Linked DNA regions of Saccharomyces cerevisiae S288C. The gene in region 1 interacts genetically with each later gene. Each region holds a gene or a part of one and is shown in the gene's direction. Other genes may lie near its edges.

The links.
Region 2: mutations in ALK2 (region 1) and SST2 together harm fitness more than expected from each alone (negative genetic interaction), as found in Saccharomyces cerevisiae (2 studies listed by BioGRID).
Region 3: mutations in ALK2 (region 1) and PSO2 together harm fitness more than expected from each alone (negative genetic interaction), as found in Saccharomyces cerevisiae (2 studies listed by BioGRID).
Region 4: mutations in ALK2 (region 1) and ROG1 together harm fitness more than expected from each alone (negative genetic interaction), as found in Saccharomyces cerevisiae (2 studies listed by BioGRID).

Annotation. Positions count from the first base shown.
Region 1 is NC_001134.8:205,222-209,724, forward strand, and holds ALK2 (protein kinase ALK2), read left to right. Parts: upstream 1-1,972; coding exon 1,973-4,003; downstream 4,004-4,503. Other genes in the region: bifunctional glycerol-3-phosphate/glycerone-phosphate O-acyltransferase SCT1, read left to right, coding at 1-596; LAA2 (Laa2p), read right to left, coding at 886-1,728; YBL008W-A (uncharacterized protein), read left to right, coding at 4,188-4,427; HIR1 (Hir1p), read left to right, coding at 4,432-4,503. UniProt on the Saccharomyces cerevisiae protein: Serine/threonine haspin-like protein kinase involved in cell cycle regulation.
Region 2 is NC_001144.5:1,038,643-1,043,293, reverse strand, and holds SST2 (GTPase-activating protein SST2), read left to right. Parts: upstream 1-1,927; coding exon 1,928-4,024; downstream 4,025-4,651. Other genes in the region: RIF2 (Rif2p), read left to right, coding at 308-1,495; leucine-responsive transcriptional regulator LEU3, read right to left, coding at 4,541-4,651. UniProt on the Saccharomyces cerevisiae protein: Desensitization to alpha-factor pheromone. Is involved in regulating the signaling pathway for responding to mating pheromone.
Region 3 is NC_001145.3:542,407-546,521, reverse strand, and holds PSO2 (DNA cross-link repair protein PSO2), read left to right. Parts: upstream 1-1,558; coding exon 1,559-3,544; downstream 3,545-4,115. Other genes in the region: serine/threonine protein kinase RIM11, read right to left, coding at 1-397; Arf family GTPase CIN4, read right to left, coding at 792-1,367; GAT2 (Gat2p), read right to left, coding at 3,641-4,115. UniProt on the Saccharomyces cerevisiae protein: Required for DNA interstrand cross-link repair. This requires cleavage of cross-linked DNA to generate DNA double strand breaks (DSBs).
Region 4 is NC_001139.9:231,950-236,120, reverse strand, and holds ROG1 (putative lipase ROG1), read left to right. Parts: upstream 1-1,613; coding exon 1,614-3,671; downstream 3,672-4,171. Other genes in the region: MRF1 (Mrf1p), read left to right, coding at 163-1,404; TIP20 (Tip20p), read right to left, coding at 3,773-4,171.

The DNA of each region.
Region 1 (4,503 bases):
TTACATCTCCAAAGGGCTTGCAAAAGCTACAAAAGGATCGTAGAAATCTGGCAGAAAGAATAATCGAAGTTGTAAATAACTTTGGAAGCGAATTATTCCCCGATTTCGATAGTGCCGCCCTACGTGAAGAATTCGACGTCATCGATGAAGAGGAAGAAGATCGAAAAACCTCAGAATTGAATCGCAGGAAAATGCTAAGAAAACAGAAAATAAAAAGACAAGAAAAAGATTCGTCATCACCTATCATCAGCCAACGTGACAACCACGATGCCTATGAACACCATAACCAAGATTCCGATGGCGTCTCATTGGTCAATAGTGACAATTCCCTCTCTAACATTCCATTATTCTCTTCTACTTTTCATCGTAAGTCAGAGTCTTCCTTAGCTTCGACATCCGTTGCACCTTCTTCTTCCTCCGAATTTGAGGTAGAAAACGAAATCTTGGAGGAAAAAAATGGATTAGCAAGTAAAATCGCACAGGCCGTCTTAAACAAGAGAATTGGTGAAAATACTGCCAGGGAAGAGGAAGAGGAAGAAGAAGAGGAAGAAGAAGAAGAGGAAGAAGAAGAAGAAGGGAAAGAAGGAGATGCGTAGATGCCATTTACTGACGGTGAAGATACTAGAAACTAAATCTTTCGCCGTTCTATTTATGTAATAAACCCATTATTGCTCATTGGGAGTTGTAAATATTAATGCTCAATGTTTATGTATATCCCTCGCACAGGGGCTTTTTATTTCTTGAGGGGGGGACTAATTGTATAATTGTATGTTTTATAAAAAAGTATATTGCTCTTTTACGACTTTTGGTCTGGTCCCCTATGCTACTAATAACATTTTATTCTCTTCAAACTTCAACGTTCAACCTGCTTTGCCGAGACGGCGATTAGTATCCTACCCAACTGAACCTTTTCTTTTTGTTTCGCTTTTTGTTATACAATGCAATTTCGTCTCGCTGTAGTCTTTGGGTATGTCCTGTCAAATTCGTCACTACATTTTCAAAAGTTGTCTTATCCTTTAGGAGGTCTCGCTGTTGTTTCTTCAATGATCTTGATTTACTAACCAAAAAGTCAATGGATTGACACAATGTATCGTGGTATTGGCGTAAAGATTCTTCATCCATACTAGTAAAATCTGCCATAAGCAATTGCGGTATATGCTGCTCTTGCTCACGCTCCTCTTCCTTTTGAAGAGATTTTAAAGTCATTGGTGGTGTATAGTCAATTTTGAAATTATCCCTCAGGAAGAGACCAGTAGCCGTTTGCTCATTTTTCTCCACTGCATCGCATATCCTTTTGAACAACTCATCATTCAACGGTTCTTCCTCCCTCTTCGTACCAACACCCTCAGAGCCATTATTATCCGATAATCTCAAAATGTGGAGCAAGTTTCTGCGTATATGAGATTTATTCCATATGAATGGCTGTAACACAGGATCTAATTGTACGAGTTGTTCATAAATGACATGGGGTCGTTCATCTTCAATAAGTTTGCTCAGCTTGAAACAGTCATTCTTTATGGTTTCTTCTTCCAGGTCAAATTCTCCCTTTGGTAGTATCTTATTCAAGCAGTTATCTACTACAGATTCGGAAGACGTCGTTAAAGTAGAATTCTGGTTATAGAGGTCATTTTCAACTGAGGCATCTGAAAAATTCCCAAAATCATCACTAGAATCACTTTCTGCATCTAATGCATTTGTGACAGGTTCTATCTGATCTCTATCGCTCATTTGCTTGCTTTGAAAGAGGTGCCTTTTTCTATCTTGCTACACCTTAAATTCTCGTTTGTGATACGCCTAACGTTTTTTTTTTTTTTCAGTTTTGATAGCAATTCGCGAAACTTTTTGTAACATCTTCTCTTCTCGAAAAGCGAAAATAGTAAACAATAACTTAAAGCGTATTGGTATTAATATATTTAGTTGTAGTAAAATCATTTCACCAAACACACATACATGCGCTATTTGTATTGAGAAAATGAATTTTGATGCGGTAGCAGATCAACAGATGACTGACAGAAGGTATTTTGCTCTCGAAGTAGCAGAAAGCGATGATGCCGACAGCTCATTAAATTCTTCATCCATGGGAAGCCCCGCAGTGGATGTAGGAAGAAAAGTTTACAAAATCACTTCGCACAAGGGTTCAGCAGAAGATGAGAGTCAATCCTTTTTTACTTCTTCAGATTCTCCAACATCCAAAACAAGGCCTGTAGGTAAAACCATCGAAAACGATGATTACTATGGTAAAAGATCTTCTACAGGTTCATCGCTCAAACAACTCTTCAATAAAATTAATATTAATGATACCGCTCACTCTTCAAACAAAGAAAATGTATCTCAGTCGGTGCTATCGGAAAACAAGCTGCTCTCTCCATCTAAAAGGTTGTCGAAGCAAGGTCTTACAAAGGTGACTAACTCCAAGTTTCGTACACCCTTGAGACCTATTTCAAACCAATCGACTTTATCAAGGGATGAGCCTGTTAAAGATTTTAGATCACTTAAGTTTCGGAGCGGTAGTGATTTCAAATGCTGGGGTGACGAGAAGACAAGTTCTCATGTTCATTCATCCAGTGTGAACTCAGTTAATTCCTTTACTTCTACCACCTCTTCTTCAAAGTGGAAGTTCTGGAAAAATGATAACCTATTGTCGAGGTCGCTATCTTCCAGATCTGTGAATGACCAAGATCCGAACTTTGTTCAGCCAAAACCAACCAATTCGTTACAAAAGAAGTCTTCAATTTCAAGTTTTCACAATTCTATTTTTGGTGGTGGCAAACACACAGAGAAGAAGAGGAATTCTGGATTTATTATGCCCGATCATCAGAGCACGAAGGAGCTAAACCACAAACATTCATCATCGAACCTTTCCTTTAGAAGTTTGAAGCATAAAACATCACATTCTTCACTAAATAAGCTCAAAGTAAGGCGTAAAGGAAATACACAAGAACTGAATCATCCGATCAAAAAAACTTGCCAAATATCATTGCCTGTTCCAGACCAAGTCTCAAAGGACAAGATTCAACTGAAATTGAAAAATTCAACATCATTGGCATCCTTATCTTCAGAAGTCACTCCCATAAACACTTTGGACTACAATGATTCAATTTTGCAACAAATATTACAACTTTGTGATGTTAAGTATATATTACATGATCTACGTGAAGCTCAGTCATTAGGCTTGTTTACGTTGAATACTAGATCGGTTCAGCTGTCTCATAACTTTTGGCAAACTTATCATAGCGATATGCAAACTTCACTCATTTGCAAGAAAGTATGTCTAGGGGCTCTAAGTGATTTGACTACTTCAAACTTGATATCCTTACATGAATTGAAATCATTACGGTTAATACAAGGAACTAGCGGTGTCGCCAATTTACTGCAAGCTTATGTTGTGCCCTCAAATCAATGTGAAAATGACCAAAACTTGATACTGTACTTATTTTTCAAATACCAGGGAACTCCTCTATCAAGGTGCTCTAACATTGATTACTCTCAAGCATTGTCTATTTTCTGGCAGTGCAGCAGTATTTTATATGTTGCTGAATCCAAATTTCAGCTCGAACACAGGAATCTAACTTTGGACCATATTTTGATAGACTCTAAAGGGAATGTTACTTTAATTGATATGAAGTGCTGTCGTTTCTTGAATATAGACAACAATAAGGCTTCCTATACAAGATTAGACCATCATTATTTCTTCCAAGGCCGGGGGACTCTTCAATTCGAGATATATGAACTGATGAGAAGCATGCTGCCTCAGCCAATATCCTGGGCTACATTTGAACCAAGAACAAACCTATTATGGTTATATCACCTAAGTAGCAGCCTGCTAAAAATGGCCAAAAAAGCCGTAGTCAGCGGCGCTTTGAACCGGGAAGAAAATATCTTAATCGAGTTGACGCACTTACTCGATCCTGCTCGAAAACATTCCAAAACAATTTTCAAAAAGGAACTTGTTATAAGAACTTGCGGTGATTTGTTATCTTTGAAGGGAGAAATAATGCAGTAAAGACATCGTAGTAATAAGGTGCAAGCTTTTGTATCCTTCTTAATGATTTGTAAGCAAAAAAAAATTACGTACATCAATTTGTAATGGAAAGGAAATAAATAGTATAATATGAACACTCTTTCTGAGAACAGTTATCTTTAGCTTGCCCCACAAACTGAAAGCACATTTTTAAAATGTTTTACAGATGAAAATGAACCCTTGTACTGTTATCCTCTGTAAGTCGTTATTTTTCTTTTGCCTTTTTCAGGTTGACTGCTACTGTAATCGTAAGAATATTCAAAATCAATCATCTCGCATCGCAACAAAAATAAAACGAAGTTACTGGTTTAGGTGGCAGAAACATATAATATTGGCGAACATTCATAAAATAATTAAGGCTTACCAACGAAGCATAATAAAATTGCCAGTAACCAAAGGTCTCTGATAACATGAAAGTGGTAAAGTTTCCATGGTTGGCTCACCGTGAAGAATCGCGAAAATATGAAATATACACAGTCGAT
Region 2 (4,651 bases), on another chromosome or scaffold:
CCTCTTCAATGTAAATAAATCCTTAAAGATTTTGCTTCACTCCATATCCGTAACCGTTCTTGCTGACATGGTTTTCATACACATAATGTTATTATAAGGGATGCTTCTAGGTCAAAGGGCAACCCGGCTTAGTTATCTTGAAAGTTATTATTTTAGTTTTCTAATTTTGCAGCTGTTTTCAATGAAGAAAACATTGCGCTTACAGATATGTACAGAAGGGATCTTCTTAACCATCAATTTCAATAAGTTAGAACAATATATGTACGAATATAGATATAAATACGAACGTGGTTAGTATATAGAGACAATGGAGCATGTAGATTCCGATTTTGCACCTATAAGGAGATCGAAAAAGGTTGTTGACAGTGACAAGATTGTGAAAGCAATAAGCGATGATTTGGAGCAAAAAAATTTTACTGTACTGAGAAAGTTGAACCTTGTTCCAATTAAAAAAAGTGTTAGCAGCCCAAAGGTGTGTAAGCCGAGTCCAGTTAAGGAGCGAGTGGACCATGTTTTCTACCAGAAGTTCAAATCAATGGCCTTGCAAGAGCTAGGCACCAATTATTTGTCAATAAGCTACGTTCCGAGCTTAAGTAAGTTTCTTTCAAAAAATCTTAGGAGTATGAAAAATTGTATCGTTTTCTTCGACAAAGTTGAACATATACACCAATATGCTGGTATCGACCGTGCAGTTTCAGAAACACTGTCTTTAGTCGATATAAATGTCGTAATTATAGAAATGAATGACTACTTAATGAAAGAGGGTATTCAATCAAGCAAATCAAAAGAATGTATCGAGTCAATGGGGCAGGCTTCATATAGCGGACAACTAGATTTCGAAGCTAGTGAAAAACCTTCAAATCACACGTCTGACCTAATGATGATGGTTATGAGGAAAATAAATAATGACGAAAGTATCGATCATATTGTCTACTTCAAATTCGAACAATTAGATAAATTATCTACTTCAACTATAATAGAACCTTCGAAGCTTACCGAATTTATCAATGTTTTATCGGTACTTGAAAAAAGTAATAACATTGCATTTAAGGTCCTCATTTATTCAAATAACGTTAGCATTTCGTCTCTCCTATCGACATCCCTCAAAAAGAAACTCAACACAAAATATACTGTGTTTGAGATGCCGATATTAACATGCGCTCAAGAACAAGAATATTTGAAAAAAATGATAAAGTTTACCTTTGATTCCGGAAGCAAGTTATTACAGTCTTACAACTCGCTTGTCACATGCCAGTTGAATAATAAAGAATCCAACTTAGCAATCTTTTTCGAATTTTTGAAGGTCTTTCCGCACCCTTTTACCTATTTGTTTAACGCTTACACTGAGATTATAGTCCAGAGTAGAACTTTTGATGAATTGTTGGATAAGATCAGAAACAGACTGACAATAAAAAATTACCCACATAGTGCTTATAACTTTAAGAAAAACCAGCGTCTTCCACTTAAGTTAACTCGAAAAGTACATGATAGATAAATTACCAAGGTCTTTTGAAAGAGTTCGAACAATACAAAGAGATGGCAACTCCTTTGGAAAAGTTCAAGTTGAACCACCTCCGTTGTCTCTATTAATGAAGAAGCCATGAAGTATGCGAAGTTTTAACTGAATCATCTTCAATAATTATGGGATGTCTGGGTTTTAAACGTTTCATAATATTCAATTTTGAAACAATGATCCCAATACTGCTTTTTTTTTGACTAGGACTTGGATTTGGTTGCTGGTGCGTTAGAATTGTTGTCTGTCCTGTTATATTTATACCGGTGAATGAAATCATAATCCCAGCTCTGTCTTTACTTCTCATCGTCCTTTAACTTTGGAGGTGTTACTGTCGTACGTTCCTTCTAGGTTTTGCACGCACTATCTGAGGCGTTATAGGTTCAATTTGGTAATTAAAGATAGAGTTGTAAGATGGTGGATAAAAATAGGACGTTGCATGAATTATCTTCCAAAAATTTCAGCAGAACGCCGAATGGACTGATCTTTACCAATGATTTAAAGACAGTATATTCCATTTTTCTAATTTGTTTGGATTTGAAAGAGAAAAAACATAGTAGTGACACTAAGTCTTTCTTATTAACTGCATTCACTAAACATTTCCACTTCACTTTTACATATCAGGAAGCTATTAAAGCAATGGGACAATTGGAACTAAAAGTGGATATGAACACAACTTGTATTAACGTTTCATATAATATTAAACCTAGTTTGGCGCGCCACCTTCTTACATTATTTATGTCTTCTAAGCTACTACATACACCGCAGGACAGAACTCGTGGCGAGCCAAAAGAGAAAGTTCTTTTCCAACCAACACCTAAGGGAGTTGCTGTTTTACAAAAGTATGTTAGAGATATTGGGTTGAAAACAATGCCTGATATTCTTTTGTCATCGTTTAACTCCATGAAACTTTTCACTTTTGAGAGAAGCTCTGTCACGGATTCAATCATCCATAGTGATTATTTGATCCATATTCTTTTCATTAAAATGATGGGCGCTAAGCCAAATGTTTGGTCTCCAACAAACGCAGATGACCCATTACCTTGCCTATCTTCGTTGTTGGAATACACTAATAATGATGATACATTTACTTTTGAGAAATCTAAGCCAGAACAAGGATGGCAAGCTCAGATTGGAAACATCGATATAAATGACTTAGAAAGGGTATCGCCATTAGCTCATCGATTCTTTACAAATCCAGATTCTGAGTCGCACACGCAATACTACGTTTCGAATGCAGGTATTAGGTTGTTTGAAAATAAGACGTTTGGCACTTCCAAAAAAATCGTGATTAAGTACACCTTTACAACAAAGGCTATATGGCAGTGGATAATGGACTGTACTGATATTATGCATGTTAAAGAAGCGGTCTCGTTGGCAGCGTTATTTTTAAAAACGGGGTTGATTGTACCAGTTCTTTTACAACCATCACGCACTGACAAGAAAAAGTTTCAAATTAGCAGGTCCTCTTTTTTTACCTTGTCCAAGCGTGGTTGGGATTTGGTTTCTTGGACAGGTTGTAAGAGCAATAATATTAGAGCACCAAATGGTAGCACCATAGACCTAGATTTCACATTAAGGGGTCATATGACTGTTCGTGATGAAAAAAAGACATTGGATGATAGTGAAGGTTTTTCTCAAGACATGCTTATCTCTTCGAGTAATTTAAATAAACTGGACTATGTGCTAACTGATCCAGGTATGAGATATTTATTCAGGCGCCATTTAGAAAAGGAACTTTGTGTAGAAAATTTGGATGTCTTCATTGAGATTAAGAGGTTTTTGAAGAAAATGACAATTCTGAAAAAATTGATAGATTCTAAGCATTGTGATAAAAAATCTAATACCAGTACTTCAAAAAACAATATCGTAAAAACGATTGATTCAGCTTTAATGAAACAGGCCAATGAGTGCCTTGAAATGGCATATCACATTTATTCGTCCTATATCATGATAGGATCACCATATCAATTAAATATCCATCATAACTTGCGTCAGAATATTTCTGACATCATGTTGCACCCTCATTCTCCATTATCGGAACACTTTCCTACTAATCTATACGATCCATCACCTGCATCCGCGGAATCAGCAGCTTCATCAATTAGCTCAACGGAGGCTGACACGTTAGGTGAACCACCTGAAGTGAGTCTAAAACCTTCAAAAAATCTTTCAAATGAAAACTGTTCATTTAAGAAGCAAGGATTCAAACATCAGTTAAAGGAATATAAACCTGCCCCGTTAACTCTGGCAGAAACGCATTCGCCTAATGCATCAGTAGAAAATTCACATACAATTGTTCGTTATGGCATGGACAACACCCAAAATGATACCAAATCGGTTGAATCATTTCCAGCAACTTTGAAGGTCCTCAGGAAATTATATCCCCTCTTCGAGATCGTTAGCAATGAAATGTATAGACTGATGAATAACGATTCCTTTCAAAAATTTACCCAGTCAGACGTATACAAAGATGCTAGCGCTTTAATAGAAATCCAAGAAAAGTGCTAATTTCATTGAGAGTCTTACTCATCTTCAGGTACAATTGCACAAACAGTCCTTTTTTTTTTCTTTAGTTCTCCTAACCTAATATGTCTTGATACCCATAAGGACTGTAAATACTATTACGTATAAATTAAGCGGAGGTGTGATTTGTTATATCAACTATAATATGATTAAATAAAGCCATTTATTATCTAGTATAATTTCCAATCCTGAGATGTGACTAACGTGAGCGCTTACGAATCTTCGCATCATACACCTGTGGCCAAGGCTGGTTGGCGGTTTAAGTCCGTCTGAAAACTTTTTTTTACGTCATTTGAAGATCAAAAGTATTGAACATATACCTAATGACACAGTTTTTTACACTTTTTTTGAGTTAAATTATTCAAGGACAAAAAATAGTGTGCGTAAATGGAAGAAATATAAACGTATATAGAAAATCATTTACCTCTCCTGTAGCACCGCAGTCATTACATAACATTTTTTCGAGGGTAAGTAAACATTACGCAAAAAAAGAAAAGGACTTTAAACCTTGGGATTGAACGCAAATTCATTCATTAAAATATCAACATCCCTCCAAACCATATCAGATTCCCAGTTATCCCAACCTGCCATGATGGAATTGGGTGATTCTTT
Region 3 (4,115 bases), on another chromosome or scaffold:
TACGTTGATGGACGAAATGACGTAACCTCTGGTACAAAGATTGTGGCATGTATTCTAGTATCAAATTTAAATAAATCTCATCTTGGGAGTCCCTTTCATAGAAAAAGTACTTCAGATCTATTATATTTATGTGACTCAGCATTTTCATTATTTCCAGCTCTCTGTTCTTGAATCGTTTATCTTGCAGGACTTTCTTAATAGCAACTTTTTCATTAGTTTCTTGAATAACAGTGGCAAATACCACACCAAACGAACCATGCCCAACTACTTCGGTGGTAGGGAAAGATATCTGCACCGGATCATTCGGGTCTATCGTAGGTGGAGGATGGGCGTAGTAAACCTGTTTTGACACTATGTTATTACTGAGATTCGGAGAATTATTGCTTTGAATATTCATCCTGCGCGAGTTCTAGCGTTGCGTGATTAGTGTTGCCGTGTTGTAATGTAATGCTATGTCAAGATCTTGCCCAGTAATGTGTGAATCAGACGTCGGTGGTTGGCTATTCTGGAAAAAAAGGTGTTAAAATGCAATGCGCCAGAAAGAAAAGGAAATAAGACAATGGCAACGACCGATTGGAAATAATCTGCTGGTCTTCCTACCACTCCTTCTTGTGTAAGATCTTCAATGGACCCGTGCTTTGTAACCCGCAAGCCTTACAGAACCCCTTGGTAGTATTATTATCCGGAGTGAGCAGAAGCCACGAATGCGCACAGTCGGCGGGTAATGAACTATCACGCTATAAATACTGACATTATTTAAAGTTTTTATATGGTGCTCACATCTTAGACGATTATTGGGTAAAATGGCAGGATTCCACCAGACGGTCACGCAGGTTATCAATACCTTCTCCGGTAACGCCACTACATTTGACGAGCTCTATTCGGATGTCCGGCTTGAACAGACACTTCAACTCGCTCTCTACCAGTAAACACCTTCGATGAAGCTCGGACTTGTCCTCCACTAAATCAATCTTGTTCAACACAACGATAACAGCACACTCGTATCCTATTCGATTTTCGTCTCTATTGATTAATTCTTTTAGTTCTTGCAAGGTTTCGTCAAACCGCATTGAAAGGCTCACATCTATACACCATATCATCGCTTGTGTCTTATCAAAATAGTTATCCCAAAATGGCCTTAATGTGCGTTGCCCCCCAATGTCCCATAGAGATATTGTCACATCTTTTATCATCAGACTATGTATTTGAAAACCCACAGTAGGCATTATACCATCGTTATTTTGCTCATCCTTGGGCAATAGTTTGTTTACTATCGTTGACTTCCCCGAATTGTCTAGTCCTAGAATCAGACAGCGAATTTCTTTGTCCCTGAGCTTCTGTTTCCTGATAATACTTAGTAGTCCCATGTATTCTTCTACACCTTAAGCTTCCCTCTTATTATCTTTATAAATTAGTGCGATGGCTTTTTAGATTTTGTCATGGAAACGGACTGAAAAAGTACTAGTAAAATAGCAATATAAACATAATCAAATACCTGCGTCAAAACTCATGTTAAGCAGCATACGCACTAGTGACTAATTTGGGTGGTCGGTTGATTATGTCAAGGAAATCTATAGTGCAAATAAGAAGATCTGAAGTAAAGCGGAAACGAAGTAGCACCGCTAGCAGTACAAGTGAGGGGAAAACTCTTCATAAGAACACACATACATCCTCTAAAAGGCAGAGAACTTTGACAGAATTCAACATCCCAACTTCATCGAACTTACCTGTCCGTTCCAGTTCATATTCATTCTCAAGGTTCAGTTGTTCAACATCCAATAAGAATACAGAGCCAGTAATTATTAACGATGACGATCACAATAGCATTTGCCTTGAAGACACTGCAAAGGTCGAAATCACCATAGACACAGACGAGGAAGAACTAGTTAGCTTGCATGATAACGAAGTCAGCGCAATAGAAAATAGGACCGAAGATCGAATAGTAACGGAATTGGAGGAGCAAGTAAATGTTAAAGTCTCTACAGAAGTTATTCAATGTCCTATTTGTCTAGAAAACCTTTCTCATTTAGAATTGTACGAAAGAGAGACACACTGTGATACTTGCATAGGCAGTGACCCGAGCAATATGGGAACACCTAAAAAGAATATCAGGAGCTTTATTTCTAATCCATCATCTCCTGCAAAAACGAAGAGGGATATAGCTACGTCAAAAAAACCAACAAGAGTAAAACTTGTTTTACCAAGTTTCAAGATAATTAAGTTCAATAATGGCCACGAAATAGTTGTGGATGGTTTCAATTATAAGGCCAGCGAGACTATCTCTCAGTACTTTCTTTCTCATTTTCATTCTGATCACTATATTGGACTCAAAAAATCTTGGAACAATCCTGATGAGAATCCGATCAAGAAAACACTTTACTGTTCTAAGATCACTGCAATATTAGTAAATTTAAAATTCAAAATTCCAATGGATGAAATCCAAATTTTACCCATGAATAAACGCTTTTGGATAACAGATACCATTTCAGTAGTTACGTTGGACGCTAACCATTGTCCCGGTGCAATAATAATGCTTTTCCAGGAGTTTCTGGCAAATTCGTATGATAAGCCTATAAGACAAATTCTTCACACGGGGGATTTTCGAAGCAACGCCAAAATGATTGAGACAATTCAGAAGTGGTTGGCCGAGACAGCGAATGAAACTATTGACCAAGTTTATTTAGATACAACATATATGACTATGGGATACAACTTTCCTTCACAACATTCTGTGTGCGAGACTGTGGCTGATTTTACATTACGGCTTATAAAACATGGTAAAAACAAAACATTTGGAGATTCACAAAGGAACCTTTTTCACTTTCAGAGAAAGAAAACATTGACAACTCATCGTTACAGGGTCCTATTTCTTGTGGGAACATATACTATTGGAAAAGAGAAGCTAGCCATCAAGATATGTGAATTTTTGAAAACAAAATTATTTGTTATGCCGAATTCCGTTAAATTTTCAATGATGCTAACAGTTTTACAAAACAACGAAAATCAAAATGACATGTGGGACGAAAGCTTACTCACCAGCAATTTACATGAATCATCCGTACATTTGGTACCTATAAGAGTGTTGAAAAGTCAAGAAACCATAGAAGCTTACTTGAAAAGTTTAAAAGAATTGGAAACAGACTATGTGAAAGACATTGAAGATGTTGTCGGGTTTATACCTACCGGGTGGAGTCACAATTTTGGTTTAAAATATCAAAAGAAAAACGATGATGATGAGAATGAAATGAGTGGCAATACAGAATATTGCTTAGAACTAATGAAGAATGATCGAGATAATGATGATGAGAATGGGTTTGAAATCTCGAGTATATTGAGGCAATACAAAAAGTACAACAAATTTCAAGTTTTTAACGTACCATATTCTGAACACAGTAGTTTTAACGATTTAGTGAAATTTGGTTGTAAATTGAAGTGTTCTGAAGTCATTCCCACTGTGAATCTAAACAATTTATGGAAAGTGAGGTATATGACGAATTGGTTTCAATGTTGGGAAAACGTTAGGAAAACGCGGGCGGCTAAATAAAACAAAAAAGGAAAACAAAAAAAAGAAAAGGGGGTAAAAATGTGTTATGTAAGATGTACGTACGTAATGGATATTATATGAATGTATGATTTTATATTATTGCAATATCGTATTATACTCAGAGTCCAACGTTTGATCATTATCCATATCATGAATAAACCTGTTTGGAATAGTGATAAAATCAGGAATTCTACGATCGTTGGCTAAATCAATAGATCTTCTATATCTTAACAACAAATTACTGCTTTTTGAGCCAAATTTCTTGGTGACTTTCCTATAAAATAACCCACAGGCATTACACAAAGTTCTTGTGCCATATGGTCCCTTTCTCCATTCTGGAGTCTCGGTCTCCCCGCAATGGAAACAAAACTCGATGATTTTTTTTGCATTAGGATTCTTTTCATCGCTATTAGCGGCGGGAGTTGTCGTTGAAACTGCAGCAGCACCAGGATTGGAATTATTGATGAAATGGCTGGAAGTGGTCAGCGTGGGTTGTCTCTGAATAGCTCTTGGTCTGCCTCTGTTATTCTTCTTTTTCGTGTTGAGGTTAGAAGTGGTTAAGTTCTTTAAC
Region 4 (4,171 bases), on another chromosome or scaffold:
ATCTGTACTAGGCTGAGTAATTGTGTATTTCATATACTTGTTAGGAGGATTTGCTCGCTCGGAGGATAAATACAGAGCGTTAATAGTGCGTATCATATGTTTTATAATATCTCAGGAATGAAAAGTTCGTAGAGCAGAACAATATATTTCATTGGTGCAAGCATGTGGCTTTCAAAGTTCCAGTTCCCCTCGAGGTCCATCTTTAAGGGTGTTTTTTTGGGTCACAAGTTGCCGTTACTAGTGCGACTGACATCAACAACGACTAACTCTAAGAGCAACGGCAGCATCCCAACACAATACACAGAACTCTCTCCGTTACTTGTTAAGCAAGCGGAAAAGTATGAAGCTGAACTAAAAGATCTTGACAAAGACCTTTCTTGCGGCATTCATTTTGACGTGAATAAGCAGAAACATTATGCTAAATTATCAGCGCTCACTGATACATTTATTGAGTATAAGGAAAAACTAAATGAATTGAAAAGTTTACAAGAAATGATTGTATCTGATCCATCATTAAGGGCGGAGGCTGAACAAGAATATGCAGAACTGGTCCCCCAATATGAAACGACCTCCTCAAGATTGGTAAATAAACTTCTTCCACCGCATCCGTTCGCAGATAAACCTAGCTTACTAGAGCTTCGACCGGGTGTAGGTGGCATTGAAGCCATGATTTTTACCCAGAATCTATTGGATATGTATATTGGCTATGCCAACTATAGAAAATGGAAGTATCGAATTATATCGAAAAATGAAAACGAAAGTGGGTCAGGCATTATCGATGCCATTCTGAGCATTGAAGAAGCCGGATCTTACGATCGTTTGAGGTTTGAAGCAGGCGTTCACAGGGTGCAGAGAATTCCTAGTACGGAGACTAAAGGAAGGACGCACACATCCACTGCTGCCGTGGTTGTGTTACCTCAAATTGGTGACGAATCTGCTAAATCTATTGACGCTTATGAAAGAACATTTAAACCTGGTGAAATCAGAGTTGACATCATGCGTGCAAGCGGGAAAGGTGGTCAACATGTGAATACGACAGACTCTGCTGTCAGATTAACCCATATCCCCTCTGGAATTGTTGTTTCCATGCAAGATGAAAGATCTCAACACAAGAATAAGGCTAAAGCATTTACGATCTTAAGAGCGAGACTTGCAGAGAAGGAAAGGCTGGAAAAGGAGGAAAAAGAAAGAAAAGCAAGAAAGAGTCAGGTTTCTAGCACCAATAGGTCTGATAAAATTAGAACATACAATTTTCCACAGAACAGAATCACTGATCATAGGTGCGGGTTCACATTGTTGGACCTGCCAGGTGTGTTATCTGGAGAACGATTGGACGAAGTTATTGAGGCAATGTCTAAATATGATAGCACCGAACGGGCAAAAGAATTATTGGAGAGTAACTGACGAACGTAACTTTTCGTTTCTTGTAAATATCATATCGTATCTATCACTTCTGTAAATCTTCTTTTCTATTGTTCTGCGCCACGTAAGAACTGACGCACATAGTAGATGCCCGAAATATGCAAAACTCTGTGAAATAAATTGTACCGCCTCAACAGTTCAGTAAGAATAGTACACAAAGAGAGTGAAGTACGAACCGTGTTTTGCTCAAGATGTCTCTGACACCAACTAATGAAATATTGTTTCATTACAAGTCTTCAGTGAAGGTTGGTGAACTTGAGAGATATGTAATTACTTATCATCTTTATGACGGTGAGGAAATTCCACCAGATTTGAATTTAAATTCCTTGTGGTTAAAGGTGAGAAATATGAATCCGTTATCGTATAGAGCTGCGTACCTAATGGGTCCATTCATGCTTTATTGCGATGTAAAAACTGCCCAATATCATCATTCCCAAAAAATAGTTGCTTCAGTTGATTACCCCAAATTTGAACCGAATGTGCAAACTCAACAAGATTTCGTGGCTGAACTTTCAGTACATAACATACGACAGAAATACGTATGGATTGCTGATGTGATGAGTCAAATATTGTTCACTACAAATACGAACGTCACTTACGAAGTCACTATTGGAACTAGTAAAGAGTCAGTAGAAAATCCGCATGATCTGCCATCTCATCTAGGTTCTTATAGCCCTAAACTTACAGTGAACAGGTTAACTACCTTGGATTTGTGGAATCTTCCCGTTCAGATTACCACACCACAGAAAAAGAAACATCTTGTAGTTTTGACACATGGTTTACATTCTAATGTGTCGACCGATCTAGTGTATATTATGGAACAGATATACAAAGCACAAAAGAATTATCCCCACGAACAAATTGTTGTGAAAGGTTATAGGGGAAATGTCTGTCAAACTGAGAAGGGAGTTAAGTATTTAGGTACTCGTTTGGCCGAATATATTATCCAGGATTTGTACGATGAATCCATCCGCAAGATTTCTTTTGTAGGTCATTCATTGGGTGGCCTAATCCAGGCTTTCGCAATAGCGTACATTTATGAAGTCTACCCTTGGTTTTTTAAAAAGGTGAATCCAATAAATTTTATTACTTTAGCTTCACCGCTTTTAGGTATAGTCACAGATAATCCCGCCTATATTAAAGTACTACTTTCATTCGGGGTTATTGGAAAAACAGGTCAAGACTTGGGTTTGGAAAATGATGTTGAAGTAGGCAAACCGCTTCTCTACTTGCTATCTGGTCTGCCCTTGATAGAGATTTTGCGTAGGTTCAAAAGGAGGACAGTATATGCGAACGCTATTAATGACGGAATTGTCCCATTGTATACCGCATCGCTATTGTTCCTAGACTATAATGATATCTTGGAGCAATTACAGAAACTAAAGGAGAACAGCAAAAAATCACCGCTAATAAATGATGCTTCAACACCTGTGAATCAAGATTTCTTCAATAAAACTTTCATTTCGCCTCTGACTAAAATGTTGAGTATACTGGCGCCACAAAAGTTTCCTACGGAGAATGGTTCCGAAATTCCTAAAGTATCATTTTTCGAGTCAGCAAGCTCAATTCTCCTTCCTCCTTTACCTGAAAGAGCGTACATAATGGATCCAGATTCAAGAGATCCTGTAATTATTCATGATAAGATATACAATGAGGATGACATTCCACAATCCGAATTTGATATCGAAGACGGTTTTTTTGGTAAAAAGAATATACTCCTTCAGGCTTTTTTTGCAGGAAAGAAAGAACGTGCGAAGTATCGAAATTTGGAAGAAACGATTGCTCGAAGGTGGCATGAAGGAATGGCATGGAGAAAGGTTGTCGTTGCTTTAAAACCTGACGCTCACAACAACATTATAGTCCGAAGAAAGTTTGCCAACGCATACGGTTGGCCCGTTATCGATCATCTGATAGATGTCCACTTCAATGGTGATGACGATGACGATAACGATGAAAATGACGATATCAATTCCACACAAGTTGTTGAACCTATTCAGAGCGTAACCGAAGGAAAGAAAAAGTATAGGAAAGCTGAAAACATTCCTCAAGAATATGGATGGTTGAATAAGGTTGAAACAAACGGAGTCTTTGACGAAGGTCCTACGGGAATGATATCAACTGTTGGTGAAATAGTCGAGGCGTTAGCTAAAAGAGGATTTAGCGCCGTAATCGACAGGAGAAATGCCTCGGAAGATCCGAATGATGAGGTCCTTCGGTTTGAAGAAATGAATAGTGATTTGGTACAATGATAGAGCTTTATATATTTATTTACGGTTTATAGAATGGTCTGGAGTTACATTTGGAATAATACTCGTCTTGTTGATTTTTTTCCTTCTCTTTTTTTTACGAGCTATAATATGTTACCATATATAATCCTATAGAGTGCATCTTGAATCTTCGTGTCCTTCAAGTACTTAATGGAATAAGCTTCTTTCAATGATGTGAAATTACCTGTTTTAATGTATTCTGGGTTTAAAAACTGCTGATTGTTTGGATCATACTTTAGCTTTAATATTTTTACTAGTTCGTGTAAACTCATACATTTATAATTGGTAGCATGTGACGGTAAGCTCAAAATGCTGCTTAAAGATTTAAAATCATGTAAAAACTGATTTAAACCGTTTTGATTAAATTTGTTCAACTTTAGAATTGACTCCGTAAAATAGTTAACAATAACATTTAACAATTCGTTCTTAACCTTTAATGAAATAGCTAGTGGGATATCCATTGAATCCAATTTGTTGATCAA